Linked DNA regions of Arabidopsis thaliana. The protein of the gene in region 3 interacts with the protein of the main gene of each other region in a biochemical or structural test. Each region holds a gene or a part of one and is shown on either strand. Other genes may lie near its edges.

Region 1 (6,990 bases), on a different chromosome or scaffold from region 3:
GCTTGAAGCAGCACATGCATCAAATTTGACAGGAAAAGTCTTCAGCCTCACATGTAAAAACTGAGGCTAAATTTGAAAATCTCAGAAAAATGAGGCCTATATTTTGCAATAACAAATATTTTTGAGGCCTAATTTTAATACTAAAAACCTTACAAATTTTGGTGGCCCTATACCCATGTTTCTTACAAATGGGTCACGGGCCGGGCCTGTGAAGGAGAGGGGCTTGCTTATAATTGATGCTGATCATCCTAATTATGATGCCAGTGGCCGCGGTAAGAGGAGAAGAGTAGAACAAGAGCACCACTCAGATCTCAACAACGAGACTGCAGGTATATTATACTCTCGATAGGAGGCTTGCATTGATACGACGAACAACTAGCTAGATACGTGTACACTTACGCAATTCTCATTGTTTTGTGTTGGTGGTCAGCTCCTACAGGAGGATCAGCTGGTGAGGAAATTGTTTTGCCTTTTACCAAGACTTTAGCTTCGTGGAAAGAGTTTGAGTCTGATGAGGTCTACAAAAGAACACCACAACGTCCTCACTTCCCATCATTGGCTTACACGCATCCAAGTTTTGGTGAACCGACTGCAGCCTATCTGACTGCAGCTTTTATCGATTGTGTAAAGACAGTAGATGGTATGTGTGAGGACACTCCAAAAAGTGAACTAGATGTCTACAGAGAGACATTTAAAATGTTCGAGGAGCAGGGTTTCGACGTTGCAGAACCTTTATCACAGGTCCTCACGCTGTTAGTTCTCCGCAAGATGAGACGTGAATCCCTCAGACAACAAAAAGGGATGGAGAAAGAGATGGCAGATGATTATAGCAAGCTGAAAAAGAGTCTGGTGAGGTGCAAAAGCAGCTTTGAAGACAAGGAGACGGCCAAATAAAAGATATGGGGTCATTTCATGGGTGTGGTTGGATTTATCCTTATAACTTCTGTTTTTATTTAATCCTTTTTTGTAACAACTCTGTTGTACTTGCTACTGCTTGCCTTTGGCTGCTTGCCTTTCTATTTATGTGATGACATAAGGAAGTAGAGTTTGCTTATTTGTGTGGTGCTTTTGTGCTTACTTATGAGTTATGAGACAACTTAAGGGTGATGGATGGGCTAAGATTACGTTTTGGAACTCTGTCGTTTGCATATATCAAGAACAAGAGCCCCTTGAGTGAAGTTCTTTCCAGGTTGGAAAAAAAAAGATTAAACAGTTTATGATTTGTTGAATAATACAGAGTCAAATGTTACAGGAAGACTATGGACAAGGAAACAAATACAAAGGCCTCAAAAGAAAAAGAAAATGTAGCAGTGGTCTTGAAAACTTAAAAACAGAGTACAAACAACAGATCAGATGAAAATAGAGTCTCATGTGGAAGCTTGAGTTTCCAACCGCATCCGTTTGGGATCTTTCTGTTCCACATGAATGATAGGATTGTTGTTGAGGATTCTACTTTCTTTGGCTTCCATGGAACATCTTTTGTATGGTTTAAAACCTGTTCTTCCTCTACTCATTAGCTTTGAAGCATCTAATCCGATTCCAAGAAATCCTGTGTTTCTCTTCTCCTCTTGATCATCAACTGGTGTTAACTGAGCTGTGAAGTTAAGATCAAGTGCCATTGGATATCTTTGTTCTTGTTGTTGTTGTTCTTCCTCTCTGTGTTCTTCTCGATATGTAAAACTTTGCGGCAATACCTCTCTGGAGAAGAGAGCTTGGAAGGCAATTCGACCCTGAATGTACAATATTTATATGAGAAAATGATTTGAAATAAAGGAAGTTGATCTTTAGTCCAAGTAAGTACCTCGTCAGACACAGACTTCCATGGATCGGTTATATTGGAGCTGATTCTACTGCGGCGTGCATTGGACTCTGAAGTTTGAGGTTTATTAGTGTCTTCATTCGTTTCTTTCACCTCACCATTGGTGCCATCCTCTTGCCTTTCTGATGCATCCGCCTCAACATCATCACTACTCGACGGAGTGTTTGAGCCACACGAGGACCGGTCAACTTGTTTTCTGTCTCCTGCTCCATCTGAACCCTTTGCATCACTCTCAGGTGTTGCAGAAGGCTGCTCATGACAAACTGGTTTACTCTTATTTTCAACATCCTCTGAGTCCAGTGAAGATCGAGCCTTTGATGCCTCGGAGTGTTCTTGCTCTCGGCTCTGCACAGAACCATGTTGTAAAGTGCTTGCTTTTGTGTACTCTACATCACATGATGGTCCAAAAGTAGATGGAGGATGACTAGTGAAACCACCTGAACTAAGAGGAGCACATAAAGGTAATAATCCATTGGCAGCCCACCAAGCACTAGCAGCTGCAACAGTGGCTGCGGCCATGGCAGCCAGATTCGGAGGTGAGTTCCCTGGAACAGGTGAGCCACCACTAGAATCGGGAGGCCAAAATGATGAGGCGAAAGTTGCGGCAGTATAAAGAGCCGGTGTTTGTAAAAGGGTTGACATTATATGATTAGGAAACGACTGATAATCTCCTGCAACTGTGTGGGGATGACTATCTGGCTCTGAAGGAGGATGTGATAGAGAACTTGTTATTGAGCTCCCCAATGGCACTAGCACAGGGATATGCATCGGATAAGTCTGAGGTCCTTGCTCATTACCGTTTTCCAGAGATTTTGCATTCAAATCTGAGTTTGACTCCTTTCTTACCCTGTTATTCTGACTTCCCTGTTATTCCCCCACGGTTTTAGTTTCATGAAAAGTACTAATCGTCTTAAAACCTCAAATAGCAATGAAAGATTGTTTTTTACCTCTTCCCGTGAAGGCAAGAACTCGCGGAAAGTGCTTGCGTTTGATGTCTCTATACAACTTTTATTCATGGAGGATGCAGCAGAGAGATACTGATGAGTGAAACAATCTGAACAGTTGTCTTCCTGCAGAGTTTTCTCTTCAGGCTTTGATTGTTGTCGATCTTCATTGGCCATCTATAAACGAAGCACACAATCTGTATTAATAACATGAGGAGCAATGTGACACACTGCAAAAAGATGCCATATGACCATGAAAATCACCTCAGGATGCGACACTTTTTCTGATCCAAGGGACTCTTTTCCATCATTCACACCCGTTTTTGACATAAGGATCGTTCCACTTCCCGTCTTTCGAGGATAAGGATTGTTTGGTTTACGCTTAGGCCGTGGAGGAGGAATAGCTATGTCTAGCGCTTGACCCATAGCTACACCTTTAGCTTCAGCCTCTTTCTCTACCTGAGAGAGATGAGAGTAGTTTTGTTACCCTCTAAACAAACGTAAACAAACAAAAATCTAATGACACTAACAAGTTTAAATGACAGAACTGGAAAATCAAAAATGGTTTACCTCTATGGCTTATCACAAGGAACATTCAAAAATTTCTAGCACTCAGCCCACTTTTGCCACTACCTCAGAATCGGTAAGAAGACACAAGTTTATCTGAAGAATCTAAAGAAACTAACATTCTTCTGAAGAATCTATGTACATGTTTGTGGATTAACAAGATATAGGCATAAACAAAAGAAAACGATTACATCTCGTCATTTCTCCAACTATTTTAAGACTTATTGCTCATTACTAAACTCTAAAAACGTAATCTATCTATCTCCTGACTAAGAAGCAAAAGAAGCAGAAAACTTGCCTGGCTTTCAATAAGTCTTAAGCATTAAGCCAATGAAGATGAGAACATCATTTCAAAATTAACCGATTTTACCTTGGAGAAAAATTTCTGAGCGTGACTTCTTATCTGGACAGCAGTTTTTGTTGCTACATGTTCTGTCCAAATGAAAAAAAGCAAATCAGTTTGAAGACAAACCTCTGCAAACACAAAAAATAAGACATATAAAGGGAAATAAAAATCAACCTTCAATCTTCTGCCATGCTCTACCATAAAGCCTCAAAGCTTCAATGAATCTATTATGTTCTTCCTCAGTCCACCTTTCACGTTGCTTTGTTATCGTATATGGCTTCCGAGTCTATATCAAGTTTCATTAAAATTCTCAATCTTTGACACCTAAAACAATCATCTTCCCCCTAAAATTTAGTTTAATTTACCTTAATAACCAGATCTTCTCCAGACGAATTTGTCTCCATCACTAAGCTCCTCTACACAACTTCAGATCTTCTCTTTACAAAATTCCACTAATCCACAAAACAAAAAACAATCAAGTCAAGTTATTCATCAAACAATAAGAAAGACCATGACAATAAATCAATCTTAAGTACCTTTAGAGAGATGATTCAATGAAAGAAACAAAATCAGCTTGGATTCGATAAAGATTCCATTTTTAATTCCAGATTTCGTTGGATAAGAAAACAGTAAGAAATCGAGAAGAAGAAGAAGAAGAAGTGATTTGCTTTTGATCAATGAAACAAAGAAAAGAGACCAGAAGCTACGGAAATGGAGAAATCTCAGCCACTATAATTATCTTTAACCTCAAACTTTTTAATTTATTTATTTCGAGGCTACAAAAGAAACTGCCATATGTCAACATACTAGTGGCTGAAGAGATGATTCAGCTTTTGTTCAAGTTACATTCTTGTCCATCTTAACATCAACTTGTTCACAACCTTCTTTGTATTCTAGGCCACGAGTTCCGGGACTACCTGAAAGGTTAAAAAGGTCAATTCGTTATAATATCTTGATCTAGTGGGACCTACTTAAGATCGTTAATCTCTCCCACCAGTTTGTCGACACGTGTCTGATACACTAGAAACATCAGTGGACCCGGGAATCTAGACGACTACTTCACCAACAATCGAACGCGCATTCTCGTGCGGTTCACTACACGCGCTATTCTCACACTCTAATGGACCTAAACTTATTTGGGCCATAGTTTTATATTGGGCTTATTTTTTTTAGACCCATAAGGTTTTGTTCTTTTAGCATAAGGCCCATATCGTTATTCAACAGTTCAGCATTAAGCTAAGCTAACCATGCATGAAGGGTAGAAGACTAAATGGGGACAAAGTTTGAAATTTTGGAAAATGAAACAAAACATCTCATATATAGTCTTGAGGAATTTACAACACTTTGACATAAATGGATGATACTTTGAGCTAAAAAAGACCAGAGACAGAGAGAGAGAAAGGATGAAAATTATTTAGTTACAAGAAGGAAAGATTGAAGGAAGGACGTGGCCTTTGTGTTAGATTCTTTTGATATCCTTCATTCCAATTCATGAATGGCCTCAAAAAGGCTCTTCTTCTTCTTCTTCCTCCTTTGATTCAGCTGCTCCCTAATATGTCTTTGTATGTGCTCTTGACCTTCTCAAACAAAGCCTCCCTGAAACAGATAACAAACAATTTCCTCGAGAATTTGAGTCTTCCATTCTCAGTATTACATGCAACCAAACACAGAGTTAAAGAGAGAATTGGTTAACCTGTCTGGTTTGAAGACCAGGTTCTTGTAAGTGAACCACTGCCATAGAAAAACCAAATGTTAATAAGGTCCATCACACAATTGAAACAAACTACACACGTCTTTTAAGATTGAAACACTAGCGAGAAGCAGCAATCAATTTCTGATATCATATCTCCATATGAATTGCAGATGTTCGGATTCTAAATTCAGAGAACTAATCCTAAATCCAAAAGTGAAGTGATGAATCATCTATATCCTCAAAACAGGTTCATGAGAGCTTTGGTTCAAGTGATACAAAGAGAAGAAGAAACTCACTCCTGTGTAACCGATGCCTACAAGTTCAAGAACACCAGGAACCAATGGAAGCCTATCGATTGCCTGTTTCACAATAACAAATTTTGGAATCAAATAAAGGAAATTTAACACTAGGGTTTTAAGAAGAAAGTAGTATTCTTCTACTCACCGAAATCATTCCAGCAGAACCCCAAAGAGCCACTACACCAGCAAAGGCAAGAGAACCAATAGCGTACTTGTCATCCACTTTCTCCCACTTCAATCCAAACAACCAAATTCAGTACATGTAACCCAGAAGCAAGAGGTAGAATCATCATTGTATAAATAAAGTAAGAGTATTTACAGCTTCTTGAGCAGTCTTGACGATTTCAGGTAACTCAGTAGTCTCAGCTTCGGTAGTAGTGGCAGGAGCTTCACCAACTTCAGTAGTAGCTCTCGTCACAACGTTCCTCACAATCTTCCGACCTAAAAACCAAAACCCATTTCGAAAGTTTGAAACTTTAAACTCGAAATTAAAAGTGAAAAGAAAAATCTTCAGATTTATGGAAAACGAACAGTAAGCAGTGGCTTTAGCGGCACGGGTATGAGACTGAATCGGAAGTGTGGGAAGTGAAATGCACGACGGAGAAGAGGCGGAGGCGGAGGCTAGTCGAGAAGGAGGAGCTCTTGAATCGATGATGGTTGAAGAGGAAGAGACTGAAAGAGAAGCCATAGCTATTGAGCTTCAAGCCTCGGAAGAATCTCACAGAAACAAAAACAAAACAGAAACAATTAGGTTTATTATCTAAAAGATTAATGGAGAGCAAGTGTTGAAAGAATTTTGGGGATTGTGGAGATGCTTTCTCTGTTACCAGTCGGAAACTATTCGACCACTCGTTTTGGGTTTCCCGATCAGGATAGTGCTGACGTGGCGGACGTAGAGACGATCTTGGAGTTTTCATTGGATTAGATAGAATTGGGTTTTTTGGCTCCTTTTATAAAATTAGGACTCAATTCTTGAAAACAAAATTTCACTCTTGCTACTATACTATAGTCTATAATAATAATTCAACAAATTCATTATTACTTTTAATCACAATCTCAATACTATATAATAATTACAATTTACAAATACGCAATTCATATACTTTTACGGTTGGTTTTTGATAATAAGATTACAATCAAGATCATAATTCATAAACACGAGCGAATTCTTCTACTTGTAGGCCTTCCATTATGATGAGAAACACATATGGGCTTTTAGTCATTGGGCCTATCAGTTACTCAGAACTTTTCAAACCCATGCCATCTAAGTAAAGATTAGATATTTATATATACATTTTTGCAGCCACTTTGTGAAATAAATC
Region 2 (8,067 bases), on a different chromosome or scaffold from region 3:
CCACATTGAAAATCTGTGGAGCTCCAGGTCCTAGATAGATTATCCAGACTTATGATTTAGTAACAGAATACAAAAGTATGAAATCAAAAAGTAGCATGTTTAGAATGATTTATATACCAATCTCAAGATCATGCCATGGATGAGCAGCTACGGATCTTCTTGACAAGGATGAGAGAATCCTCTCGTTAAGACGAGGAGCTGGTCGCTGCAGCCTCTGGTTATCTTTAGTTTCTTCACTCATCTGTCAAAATCAGAACGTTTCATCACTCATTGATATTGACTGAATCTAACATCATAACCCTAATTGGCAGAGAGAGAATCAATCGAATCAAGAGTATTAAATGGAAAAAGCGAATCAAGACCCCACAAGGGAAAACAATCCTTAAAGCAGACTTGAGATCGATCATACCCAAATTATGGATTCATATATTGTTAACGTATCGATTACTGAAAAGATGTATACCAAATCTGTTCACTTTTTCTCTATAGACTCGATGGATGATTGAGATTTGAAGCAACAAAATACCCAGAAGATTAAACATGGAAAAGCATCAAACTTTGATGATCTTAGAACGATGACAAAAGAAAAAAAAACGTACCTTTGGATCGAAACGAAACAGCCGATTGTTGTTTTCTTTATCGCAAGGATGATGAAGAAACTTTGGGAGAGAAACAAGTGAAGCCCGTTGGTCTAGCAAGTGATTGTAAAATGTATATATGAGTCACCACCGAGATATACGGATCAAACTTTTATATTATCGTAACACTCACTACACTACCACTCAATTATTTACAAAGATTTACATCTTTTTAAAAATACTTTATTTTTTATTACGAAACATAGTTTGTGTTTTTGCGGTCACTCCTATAATCTATGTAGGATACTTGCATTACATTTTTCACAAATAATTTGGTTTGGTAGCAAGGATATGGCTCATTCAGTGAGAACAAAAAAATTGTATATCTACTCATTCATCAGTAAACCAAATTAAGAGATTGAAATATTGTATAAACTAGCTACACAATATAAGCCTTCTTTAGGCCTCTATTACTTAAGCTTGTAATAGGGAAAATGTTGTAATGTAGGCCCAAGTAGTGTGAGTAAAATCTTTAAGGCCCAGCCTAGCACCTTTGGGCATTTGGCGTTGGGCAACGAGCGCCTTCAAGTTTGAAACAAACAGAGAGAATCATTATGAAGAAACACCAAAAGACAAAACTTTCTAAGTTGTAACTTTTGTACAGTTCATCTTTTATCATTATAAACTATTTATGATCTCATCAATCAATATCCACAATTTTTAAAAAGAAGAATAAAGACAAATCCATTGCTTAATGGTTAATTAACAGTAGTAGCAGATGACATATAGACCACAAGTAGCATACACAAACAGAGACAAGAGACAAGACATGGGGTAATATGGTACAGAACCTGACATGACCAAAGAAATGTTCGGAAGGAAAATTAAAAGTCTCTTTCATAAAGATTGGAGAAGCAAACTACTAACACTAGATTTAAAGATATTGATAAAAATGTGGATGTTTTTTTTTTACCTCCAAGTCTGTCATGTAGAAGCTTCTCCTTCCAATCGAAGCCTTTTGCAGACTTTTTCATCACTTTGATTGTTTATGTTCCCAACTTGGCTCTCTTTCACTTCCATTGAACATCTCTTGTATGGCTTAAATCCTGTCTGTCTCGTTTTAAGACTCTTGCATGTTCCAACACCGATCATTACTACTCCTTCTTGGTCTGCAGCACAAGAATCCTGGCTTTTGAAATTAGGAGCCAATGGCATTGACGTGTCACTTTGTTTTCTATTCACATTCTCTGCCACTTGAGGAGGCGAAAAGCTTTGAGGCAATCTTTCTCTTGCAAAGAGAGCCTGAAACGCTATACGACCCTGAAAATATTTTGATAGTGTTAGTTCCCAGAAGAACTCTGCAATATCCATGAATCATTGGTTTTTGTTTTACCTCTTCGGAGACTTCCTTCCACGAATCAGTAGTTGCATTGTTGTTGCTGTTGTTGTCTCTCATTTTAATCTTACGGTTATTTAACTCAATAACATCTGGCTGATTCTCATCTGTCTCCTTCACATCCTCTTTATCTTTCTCCATTTTATCTAATGCATCAGTTTCTGCGTCACTCCCTGAAGGTGTATTTGAGCCACAGGATGAGCGGTCCACAAGATTTTTCTTCTGGGCAGTGTTTGAGTCATGCACAGCGGCAGTAACAACAACCTCCTCAATTTTATCATCATTGGTTTTTGAGTCGGCATTTAGCTTGGTTACTCCAGTCTCATCTGAATCATCAGATGATGAAGCTGGAGATTTCGAAGCCAAGTTTTGATCTTGCAGAGCTGTGTTTTGTTTCTCAAACGGTTGAGTATTTTCAACGGTATCCATTTCAGTCATTGCTGGAGTTGGAACTGCAACAGTTGAGAATGGAACACATGTTATTGGAGCTGGAGCGCATACAGGAAGAAGTCCATGAGAAGCCCACCAAGCAGTTGCAGCAGCTACTGTAGCAGCGGCAATGGCAGTTATACTTGGAGGAGAAGAGCTCATTGGGGTTGATGAATCACCAGAATTCCCGACACTCGCATAAGGCCAGACCGAAGCAGCGAATGTAGCTGCAGCATGAGCTGCAGGATTCTGTAGGAGAGTTGACATAATAAGATTGGAGAAAGTAGATGATATCTGGAGAAACGAACGGTAATCATCCTGTGAATGACAAGCTGGAAACGCTTGATGAGAAGCTGTAGTAGTAGCAGATGCTGTTGTAGCTTGAAGATTTGCGTGCCCGTGAGTTTCTTCTCTCATAGGATGAAACATGAAGTCTTGAGATACCATACCTGAGGGATGATTTTGAGGGCATTTTGCTATATTCCCGTTCACAATATCTGCGTGGAAATGCCAAGGGTAGTTTTGCATGCTGTGCACAGTAGTACCATCGTTACCATCTTTGTCTTTGTTCTTCTTGGGAACATCTTGAACCGCGTTGTCCACAGTTGAGGTCTTACTTGTTTCAATGTCGCCACTTACCTGCTAAAAATCAGAATGGAACAAATAATTTGTCATGCACTTGAAAGCATTCATCAGATTCTTCGACTACAATTTTGTAGCTTTCTTAGACTTACTTTCGTTGGTAAGGGATACTTGTTCACAGTAGAAACACCCGAGCAATTCTCATCTTGATTTTCTTTTCCAGTTGATGTTTTCTAACCAGAAAATAAAACATAAGAAGTCTATCACAAGACCACCAAAATGATAAAATGAAGAAGAGAAAGATCAGGAATAAACCTCAGAGAACGGCATTTTTTCCAAATCCAAGAACGCCTGATTCAACTGTGAAGAAGAGGCCGATGAAACAAGTTTTGCATCTTTTGCTGATGATACTTGAGAGGAAGATGTACCGTTGTTCCCAGGCTTTCGAGGATAAGGAGTATTGGGTTTTCGTTTAGGACGAGGAGGCGGAATTTCTATGTCCAAAGCTTGGCAAACAGGGATGCCTTTAACTTCAGCCTCTTTCTCCAACTGAAATGTGAACCAAAAACTGTGAGCTTTTCCAAACTGGAGATGGAAAAATGCAGCTCAGATGTGAAATCCTGAGATTCATGAAATTGACCACATCACCAAGGTTGAAAAAAGTCTTATACTGACCCGAATTTTTCGGGGTAGAGATGATAGAGTTACTTCATGTCCTGTCCTATAGGGCAAGGAGGTTTGGTTTCCATATGGATGGCTAAAAGAATTCATGCAATCCCATTATTTCATCGACTTTAGTGAATATGGGACAATTGTGTCATCCAAATGCAACGCTAGTTATGTTAATTTGGACCTATCTTATGGTCTCAGAGAAGAAAGCTCTCTGTAGAGTTTTTTCTAACAGTAAGTTTGGACAGACCAATCTAATGTTAAGTTTAGTTGAACAGAGTAAATGAAAAAGATAAAAAACGATCGAGATGCAATCCTCGGAACCAACCAACTCTACTTAGCAAAACACACTCTACTTAGACGCCTAATTTCTAGTTGAAGCAATTAGAGAAAAGGAAGAATAAGAAGAACCTTCTATCATCTTTTCCAGACAGTGACAGGCAACTTCTAAACATAGTCATAGATCGATATGAAAAAATGGTACCTTTACACAAGATAACGAAAGTGTTTTAAAAAGATCTGAAAGGATCATCAACTTACCTTTGTGAAGAACTTTTGTGCATGACTTCTGATCTGAACAGCAGTCTTTGTCCCAATATGTTCTGCACACAAAATGAAAAGAAAAGAAGGAATCTCCCAATCAAGAGGAGATAAAGACACTCCTAAACAAAGGAATATAAAATCTCAAAGAGTTCAAACTAAACATTCAAAAGATAAACTTTCGACCTTCAATTCGTTGCCAAGCTCTTCCATAAAGCCTCAAGGCTTCTAGAAACCTCTCATGCTCATCCTCAGTCCATCGCTCTCGCTGCTTTGTTATTGTATATGGCTTTCTTGCCTAAACATTTGAAAACCCAAAAGAAAATCAAATCTTCACACAACAACAGTCCAAATCTCTCAAACAAAAAAACACCAATCTTATTTCATTAGTAGTAGTACCTTAGCTAATAATTCTTCTCCAGATGTATTAGTATCCATAACAGGACCGGTGCAGCTATTCGCTGCTTCAAATCCTCTCTAACAAGTAAAGTATAAAAAAGAAACCATCTTTGATCTCCCCAAACATGAAAGTTTTCAAATTGCAAAGCCGTTGTGATAACCTCTTTAGATTCTAGAGAAACTGCAAAGGAGAAAGTACTTTATGAGAAATATTTATCCACAAACACTAAGATAAGAGTGATGAGCGAAATTCAAAAGAGAAATCTTTTCAAAGTCCACCGTGAAACAGTCGCTGCTTCTCCAGCAGAACTCAAAAGAATTCCCTTTATTATTATTCACAAAAGCCTCACCCAAACGAATCCACCGCAGCCAAAACCTTCACAAATCTTCATATCAGTAATCAATCACCAGATTCGTATCATTTATGCTAACTTTTAGAGCTAATAAGATTTAGTTAATCGCTTCTATAAGTTTCTCAGCAGCCAAACAGAGATCTTAGTATGTTATAGGAATCCTAGAAACTGCTCATAATGTAAACTGTTATACCCTTGAGAGTAGCCATGGAGGAGACAAGTATGCAATCTGACTTATCATCTCACCGGGAACTCCCCGGAGAAGTCATCGTTCCCGGAAATAATCAAATCGGAAGCAAAACAAAAAAAAATCTCTAAAAATAAATTTAAAAAACAGAGAGAAGAAGGAAGAAGATAACTGAAGAAGAAGAAGAAGAAGAAGAAGAAGAAGAAGAAGGAAGACTGTTTTAGGCTGAAGAAGACTGGAAGAAGAAGAAGAGAAGCCAGAAGCAATCTCAGCCACAACAATTTTTCCCCTAATTTTTGGAAAAATTTTAATTGAAAAGTTTATTTGAGGCTGGAACAGCACCAAGGGTATAAATGGAAAAAACAGAAGTCATCGCAGATCGACACGTGGTGATATTGTAGTGGCTGTCTACTGCACTTTTTGGTATATCTCAAGTTGCTTCTCTACGAGCCAGAAGCTTCAATGTGAAGCTCACGTAGGTAAAAGTGAGTGTGGTGGTCCACAATTGCTTACGTGTAAACGATTATTGGTACAAACTTGGACGACTAAACAAGTGGGTACGGTGCCAGCTGTGATGGTGTACTGCTACGTATTGGCTATGCTGGATCTGGGCTTGTAATAAGACATTGTATGGGCCTCACTTTTACGCCTATTCTATATAAATTTGCGTATTAACATAGTTGAATTAAACCCGACAAGCTTGGACTGCTCGGGGAACTTGCGTCTGTATAAAAATCTTCATCTTTTCATATAATATCATGCAATGCCTATACAAAATTTCAACAAATTATCATCGAGAACTTTGGTCAACTTGCTTATATAACATTTGTAGAAATTAAGGAACATTAATTACTCTTAAGTCTTAACCGAAGCATGTAGTATTTATTTATGGAATTCAGCAAACATCATTACACTCATTTTTTTAGATTCCAGCTTACAACTGTGTTTTGCTTAAAGCAGAAGCGTTTAACATAGTTATAGATACTCTAATGTTGGAGCAGAGCTTAGTTGCAATATTTTTTGAAGTTGACGGCCTCATCGGTCAGGAAGCCACTACAAAAGGTTACCGAGAACTTTGGTTAGTTCGGTTCGGTTCTAGGTTAACCAAAAAACAATAGACCAGTTTTTGTTACTAACCGAAGAACTGAACTACCCGAATCTAATTGAAATAACCGAAATTATTCCAAAATAACCAAACAAACCGGATTTAAATATTTCACAAATCTCTACGTTGATGTTTGGAATTATAAAATTTTATCTCTCATTACCTCTCCTTAAACATTAACTAGGACATAACAGTTATTTGAAACATACATTAACAACAATATAATTAAATTAAACGGGCGACTTAGAGTCGTTATCCTTATTAGGAGTAGTATATTGAGCTTCGTTATCCATTCCTGAAGACAATGCAGTTGATGATTCCGTTTCTTTGTTCTTCCCCCACAAGAACATGTAGAGACCCGTTATGGTCACTAGTGATCCAATCACACTGTAGACCAAAAGTTTTAATGTTGTAATTAGTGTTATGCCTAGACAAAATTAATTTGATAGAGATTATCGAAGAAGATACCTTCCAAGGTATAAAGGAGTGTGTAAAATGAGGAAATCAAATAGAGTAGCCGAAATGAGAGTAAGTGGGAAAAACGCCGATGCGAACACAGCTCCTAATTTTTTAATCCCCCATGTTGTTGCAACCGTCGTCATTGCTTGTCCTACCACTCCCTATAATATATGATAAAAAAAAACCACATAAAAAAACCCACATTAATATCTTAAGTTCTTACATACTAATCTTATAATTTTTAAAAAGTTAATTTATAAAGATATGATGTTTGTAACTTACAGCGTATATGATGACGGTGATAACGAATCTATCATCTATGATCCAATCATTAACGTCTCTGCTCTTGTAAAGGCTCAAGAGAGCACATTGAAATGCCGCGAAAATTGACATAAGACAAGTGCTCGAGTATTTGCAAGGGTACTTAATACTTAAAGTCCCTTGAAACAACATCCATAGAGATAGCAACACTGTTCCTATGGTTAAATAAAGACATCCAAGAAGCCAATTATTGGCCTTGTCTTGATCGTTGTTGTTGTGGGAAGCCCCACCGTGAGAGTGAGAGTGAGAGTTTGATATTTGTGGGCCTTTGTAAAATGTTAAGAACAAAGCTCCACTTATACAGATCAAAGTTCCAATCACCTTCAACATTCCTGCTTTGGTCTTTAGAATCTTCACATTTTCAGTCCTAAAAAAAGTAAAATTTTAATGATTATTTTGAAACAAGTTATTGAGAATATGAATCATAGTAGAAAGTATTTGTTTTTTTTCTTTCCTGGCGTTACAAAATAGAGTCGCTTTTTAATAATTTTCCGCATCATTCCATCAAAGTTTATAAAAATGCGACGTATAGCTAAGAAAAGACATTTTTTCAGGAAAAGCTTTAGAAAGAGGGCTCAGTGGATGCAGTTACGTATACTTAAGGTAATTTGATGGAAAAGAAAACCAATCAGATTGCATTACAATTAATAAGAAAATATAATGTTCTATATTATGTTGTCAATACTTTCAGTAGTGCTTTTTAAAAATCTAGATTAATATATATTATCAATTGATGATAAAGAGGTTAGATGGTTCCATCGTTACCTGAAAATAAGGGCCAAAGCGAAGGTGATTGCAGGCAACATGCTTACCAAAGCACACGAAACAGTTGCTGACGTGTACGACAGACCAAGCAAAAAGAAAAACTGCATCAAACTCGCCCTGTCAATTTAAACCCATAAATTAATTAAAAGATCTTTAATAATTTAGCTTATGATTAGTACAAACTATTAAACTATAAGAATAAATTGCAAATGGCCGACAAAATAATATAATAAAATGCAATTAGGTTTGAGAGGACTAACCCGAGAAGGCCACTGACGAAATGA
Region 3 (5,400 bases):
CAAAGAAGATCAACACACATAACAAAAACTCCACGAATTTATGAGAAAGAGCAACGAAAAAGCAAATGGCGAAAGGTAGATCTGCGACACTAAATCTCAGATAAAAAGGCAATCGCCAGCGAATACACAGAGAGAAAGAGAAAACGTGGAAAAAGTGGGAGAGAGAGAGAGAGAGAGAAATAGAGATAGAGATGTATAATGATGAGAAAACGCGTTTGTTCCAGAAGAAGCAAAAAAAATAGAAAGAATCATCGTACAAAGTGAAGATGAAATTTACCAGAAGAAGAATGATAAACACTTCCTCGTTCTAGACCTTGTGAAATCCTTCTCACTGCTACGAACGATCCTCCTCTATCATCCATCTCTCTCTCTCACTCTCTTCCGAGTCACCTCAATCACCAAATATCTTCTATCAAATGCAGAAACAAACAACAAATACAAGTTATCGAATCAATCGGAACTTTCGGAATCTGAATCAAACAGAGACGCAATGCGAATCCATATCATGAGAAACTGATCAAAAACACCTAAACAGAGATAATCATACTATATGTACCCGCCGGAAAACGAACAAATCGGCGTCGCTGCTTTTAGATACAACAGAGAGATAGACGAAAACAGTTAGGATTGAGAGATCTACCGAGAGAGTCGCCGGAGTTTAGGCGGCGATTGAGCTTAACAGATGGCGGAATTTATGAAGATTCGGCCGTTTCTCTTCTTTTTTTTCTTTCTTTGGGTTTAAGAAAATAAAAATGGGGATTTACAACTAAAGGATCTGGCGCGTGTTGTTCAGTCGCTATCAAAAGCTTAGTAACGGAAAATAATGACTCGTGCGGTCATCGGTATTTAAGTCGGACGACGTCAACGACAATCTTCTAATTCATTTTTTTTATTATTATCTTTCAATCTTCTCTATTTTTAAGCATCTTTTTAAGATTCTGTTTTCTACTGTTGTGAACATCGTGAATATTGCTGTAACACAATAGTAATTCGAAATGAATTACATAATTAACTTATGGTTATTTGTTTTCATTTTTTCTATATACTAACCAACCATTAGAAAGTTATACTTTAAAATCAAAGATCTACTTGGTTGTTAACACATTCAAAATAGCTGAGCGGTTAAGGAATGGTTAGGCAACAACAAAATTTTGAATTACCTGATCAAAATATTGAAATCTAATCTCACAGAATTATATGATTAGTAAAGTCTTAGTGCCACACTTCCGTTTGCAACTAGTGACGCTTCGAGTTTGGAAATGCATTATCGAAATTAAACTTTATTTAATAAAATCTATCTAAAGGTTAGCTTTCAATCTAGTTTTTGTTTACTTTCTTAATAAAACAAAACATCGAATCCGAGTAAGATAATATAGCATGTAGAGTAATAATGTTGTCTTACAAAGCTAACCACATAAGTGAGATCACGGTATCATGGGTGCGACAATTTCATTAAGGCGTGGGCCAATACTATCACCGGTATGGTTCAAATATAGCCGACCCGCGTGTAAACTGCCTTTTCTTTTTGTTCGTGTGATTAGACATTCACTTAGTAACATGTCAATTATTAGTAGATCCTTACCGTTTAATGCAAAAATAAAATTTCAATATACAACTACTAGTATTAAATTTACAACTTCTATAAAACTTTTGGGAAATTGTCAAAAGTCGTTGTAACGAGGCATGACTACTTTCTCCGACAAAGGCTCCGTTCTGCAAGCAAATGTTTCTAGATCCCAAAAATTATGTTTGGGTGTGTATATTACATGATATGCCAGTCCAATTTTTATCTATCAATTTTGTATATAAACGTGGATCACAAACTTTACTTGAACACAAACGAAGAAATACAAAATATTTCTCAAACTAAAAAAAATAAAATAAATACAAAATATTTCTCAAACTATTGTAGTATTTAACTAACAAAAAAAGTCGAGATCTTTTTTTTTTTTTTTGTCGTAAGTCGAGATCTTTTAAAAATGAAACTTGTGTTGTCTGAAACAAATGCTTAGATTTTGAATAGATAATATAATGAGTTTTATGCAGAGTCGTGCACCACGCCACCACAAGCTCGTGTACCTTCAGTTTCTGAAACACGATTCAACTCTAGATTTTGTATAGAGTTCAATTCGTGCTCTTCATGTCCGATTTTTTAAAATTAAAAAGTTTCCTTAATGTTTACGATATTATTATTATCCGAAGACCTTTGTCAGGTCTAGCTCCGTTGACCAATGCATCTTCCAAGTTCCAACATGTATATGTACTCTAATTCCAAAAATCGTAATCTTGTTGGTTGTCATGTTTGTTCACGATTTATGGATTTCATCTTATGTGGGCTGTGGCCCATCTGTTTTGGTCGTTTCTGATGGAAGCAAGCAATGAGACTAAACTGACTTTAGCTAACACAAGGCCCAATTATAGAAGCCCATTGTAAAATAGAAAGAACAAAAACTGGAAAGCAAAAAAAAACAAAACAGTTGAGAGGAGAAAGAGAGACCATCTTTACATCGCCTATGTCCTGTCCTCCACTCTGTTACCAAAATTATATATAATTTTTTTAAAAAAATTAAAATTAAAAAGAAGAAAACCCTAGATTTCTCCGTCTCTCTAATTTCCTTTCTCTCTCAAGCTTCTCAGAAAGTCTGACACTTTCGAGAATCTAATCTCCAAATTTCTTGTCTTTTTGGAGAAGGAATCGAATTATGTACAAGGAACGTAGTGGAGGAGGTGGTGGTGGGTCATCGAGATCAGAGATCCTCGGTGGAGCTATTGATCGGAAACGAATCAACGATGCACTCAATAAGAAACTAGAGAAATCTTCAACTTCCACCACCACATCTAGGGTTTTCTCTTCTAAAGACAAAGATCCCTTTTCCTTCACATCTACTAAAACTCAGCTTCCTGATGGTTTGTTCCTCTCTTTTTCACATCTGTGAGTCTTTTTGTTGGTTAATTGCTTTCTTTCTGATGATTTTTTTTTTTTGGTGTTGCAGTGGAATCGGAAACTGATAGTGAAGGGTCTGATGTGAGTGGATCGGAGGGTGATGATACGTCGTGGATCTCTTGGTTTTGTAATTTGAGAGGGAATGATTTCTTCTGTGAAGTCGATGAAGATTATATTCAAGATGATTTCAATCTTTGTGGTTTAAGTGGTCAAGTCCCTTACTATGATTATGCACTTGATCTCATTTTAGATGTTGATGCTTCCAACAGTAAGTCATCTCTCTTCTTCTTCTTCTTTCTTTTTTTGTTAATAAGGAGCTAGTAAAGTTTGGTCTGAAATCTTGTATCTATGTTTAGGTGAGATGTTTACTGATGAACAGCATGAAATGGTGGAATCAGCTGCTGAGATGCTATATGGTCTTATTCATGTTCGTTACATTTTGACTACTAAAGGAATGGCTGCAATGGTTAGTGAGAGAATCTCTCTACTCTTTTGTTTATGTTTTGGTGCTTTTAGCTTCGTTATTTGATTAACGACGTCTCTTGTTTATTGATCTCTGTAGACTGAGAAGTACAAGAACTGTGATTTCGGGAGATGCCCGAGAGTTTTCTGTTGCGGTCAGTCTTGTCTTCCAGTTGGACAATCCGATATCCCGAGATCGAGTACTGTGAAGATATACTGCCCTAAATGCGAGGATATATCTTACCCGCGATCTAAATTCCAAGGCAGTATCCTTTTTCTCTGTTCATAATCCATAATTTTGGCTTTGCCATTTCAATATTTCAGTGAAAGCTTAGGTCTGATTTTGCTTCAGTTGAGACACTCTGATCTTGAGTGTCATTGTATCTTAGCGTTTTCCTTAAATGACTTGTGCAGATATTGATGGAGCGTACTTTGGAACCACATTCCCTCACTTGTTCTTGATGACTTACGGGAACTTAAAGCCGCAGAAGCCTACTCAAAGCTATGTCCCAAAAATCTTTGGCTTCAAGGTACACAAACCATGATACTAGTGCTCTGCATTCTCAATGGTGATACATTTAGTGGCTCTGTAATTGCATCCGGATGAGCAACTGAAACGATAGCTGCGGTGACTGGAGCATACATCAACCATTGGGTTAGAGGATGAGAGCTGAAGTTGAAAGATGGAATCTTGAAAGAATCTCATGAAGTTCCAAGAAAACTTAGAAGTGCAACAGCCTGGCTCATTGGGGGAAAAGAACGACACACTTGGGTCTTGTTGTTGTCTCCGAAAAGATTTTCCCCAGTTAGTTGGATTTTGTTTTGAACTGTTGGATTATTATTCGTTTTTCTAATTTCATGTAAAACTCATAAATTTCAACTGAAGTATAACTTAGATCAATCAATTTCATCAAAGATCATAATGAGACATGTATGGCCATTAAAATACACTCAAGGGACCAATATCTTAGGATGATTACGACACAAAAGCATATAAACAAGTCAATATATAGATTTTATAAGAGATCATTGCCAGACATAAAAACCAGTAACGTTAGTATTTGTTTATTCACCGACTTTTGTGTAATTAAACTTAGTACACTCAGTTATAGATTGTATTATCGTAAGGATTTCTAGTAAAGCACTTTGAAAACACACATCAAACTCTAAAAATTTTGATCTGTAAAGACTCGTGCGAATACTGTTACCAAGTTATAGGGTTAAAGAAGTGCTGATCAAAATAAAGTATAAGAAACATCACATTAGATCAGGATTCAAGGATTTATAATTAGGTGTTGAATAGGATCAAACATTCAAAACCTCAAGCCTAACTTTAGGTTATATAGCTAGAACTATTGGTAATGAAACTTTGAAAATTAACTCAACAAAAAATAAAAACCTGCTTAAACTGCTCAATGTATAAGTCTTGATTCAAAATCACAAGCATAGAGTTTGCAAAACTTAAATTGTCAAAACAAGGAAACCAAATATAAAAAGCCAGCAGACTTTTAACCCTCGATCTGCTCCCTCAACCTTCTGATCGTGCTTCTAACAGTGACCGCACTGGCGGTGCTGCAATTCACAAACGAAAACAATTTCATCAGAAAACAAATCATTGATTGATAACCAACACAAAGCTAATACAAATATAACTCAGAAATCACTTACTTCATTGTGTAAGCACCACCTGCCTTGACCTTGCCACAATCCTTGCAACCCCAGATACCAACAGCCTTTCGCTTCACTCCGTACTGCAATCATTTTGATCAAACCACAGTTACCACAATAATCCAAAACCAAAAGAGATTTAGAAATGAAAACAGTAACTGAATGTTAATCTCTTTCATACCTTGCCACAGAACTCACAGAAGTACTTGCTGTGCTGGCTGACCTCCATCTTCTTAATCTGCTTCCTGATACTCGCACCATAACGTGTTCCTGAATCACATAACCATACATACGTTAGGAAGAGAACTCACAATACATATAATAAC

What was found.
Region 1: the proteins of CKB3 (region 3) and CCA1 form a complex in vitro, tested with the Arabidopsis thaliana proteins (2 studies listed by BioGRID).
Region 2: the proteins of CKB3 (region 3) and LHY form a complex in vitro, tested with the Arabidopsis thaliana proteins (one study listed by BioGRID).

What each region holds. Positions count from the first base shown.
Region 1 is NC_003071.7:19,243,095-19,250,084, reverse strand, and holds CCA1 (circadian clock associated 1), read right to left. Parts: upstream 4,495-6,990; 5' UTR 4,213-4,494; intron 4,129-4,212; 5' UTR 4,081-4,128; coding exon 4,042-4,080; intron 3,963-4,041; coding exon 3,851-3,962; intron 3,763-3,850; coding exon 3,701-3,762; exon of another isoform or gene 3,334-3,700; intron 3,223-3,333; coding exon 3,028-3,222; intron 2,941-3,027; coding exon 2,767-2,940; intron 2,684-2,766; coding exon 1,802-2,683; intron 1,731-1,801; coding exon 1,368-1,730; 3' UTR 1,170-1,367; downstream 1-1,169. Other genes in the region: DUF4 (hypothetical protein (DOMAIN OF UNKNOWN FUNCTION 724 4)), read left to right, coding at 176-329, 431-894; PSI-P (photosystem I P subunit), read right to left, coding at 5,215-5,272, 5,370-5,407, 5,666-5,728, 5,814-5,900, 5,988-6,109, 6,200-6,356. UniProt on the Arabidopsis thaliana protein: Transcription factor involved in the circadian clock and in the phytochrome regulation. Binds to the promoter regions of APRR1/TOC1 and TCP21/CHE to repress their transcription. Binds to the promoter regions of CAB2A and CAB2B to promote their transcription.
Region 2 is NC_003070.9:32,430-40,496, forward strand, and holds LHY (Homeodomain-like superfamily protein), read right to left. Parts: upstream 5,329-8,067; 5' UTR 5,140-5,328; exon of another isoform or gene 4,970-5,139; 5' UTR 4,944-4,969; exon of another isoform or gene 4,775-4,943; 5' UTR 4,633-4,774; coding exon 4,594-4,632; intron 4,493-4,593; coding exon 4,381-4,492; intron 4,257-4,380; coding exon 4,195-4,256; intron 3,743-4,194; coding exon of another isoform or gene 3,661-3,742; intron 3,571-3,660; coding exon of another isoform or gene 3,535-3,570; coding exon 3,301-3,534; intron 3,219-3,300; coding exon 3,138-3,218; intron 3,046-3,137; coding exon 1,972-3,045; intron 1,899-1,971; coding exon 1,563-1,898; 3' UTR 1,552-1,562; exon of another isoform or gene 1,233-1,551; intron 1,161-1,232; 3' UTR 950-1,160; downstream 1-949. Other genes in the region: PPa1 (pyrophosphorylase 1), read right to left, coding at 2-30, 118-241; UMAMIT28 (nodulin MtN21 /EamA-like transporter family protein), read right to left, coding at 6,469-6,625, 6,707-6,858, 6,980-7,385, 7,784-7,900, 8,044-8,067. UniProt on the Arabidopsis thaliana protein: Transcription factor involved in the circadian clock. Binds to the promoter region of APRR1/TOC1 and TCP21/CHE to repress their transcription. Represses both CCA1 and itself.
Region 3 is NC_003074.8:22,269,265-22,274,664, reverse strand, and holds CKB3 (casein kinase II beta chain 3), read left to right. Parts: upstream 1-2,491; 5' UTR 2,492-2,702; coding exon 2,703-2,907; intron 2,908-2,993; coding exon 2,994-3,212; intron 3,213-3,300; coding exon 3,301-3,410; intron 3,411-3,506; coding exon 3,507-3,672; coding exon of another isoform or gene 3,673-3,695; exon of another isoform or gene 3,696-3,820; coding exon 3,821-3,951; 3' UTR 3,952-4,395; downstream 4,396-5,400. Other genes in the region: AT3G60260 (ELMO/CED-12 family protein), read right to left, coding at 278-362; AT3G60245 (Zinc-binding ribosomal protein family protein), read right to left, coding at 4,915-4,978, 5,075-5,157, 5,256-5,344. UniProt on the Arabidopsis thaliana protein: Plays a complex role in regulating the basal catalytic activity of the alpha subunit.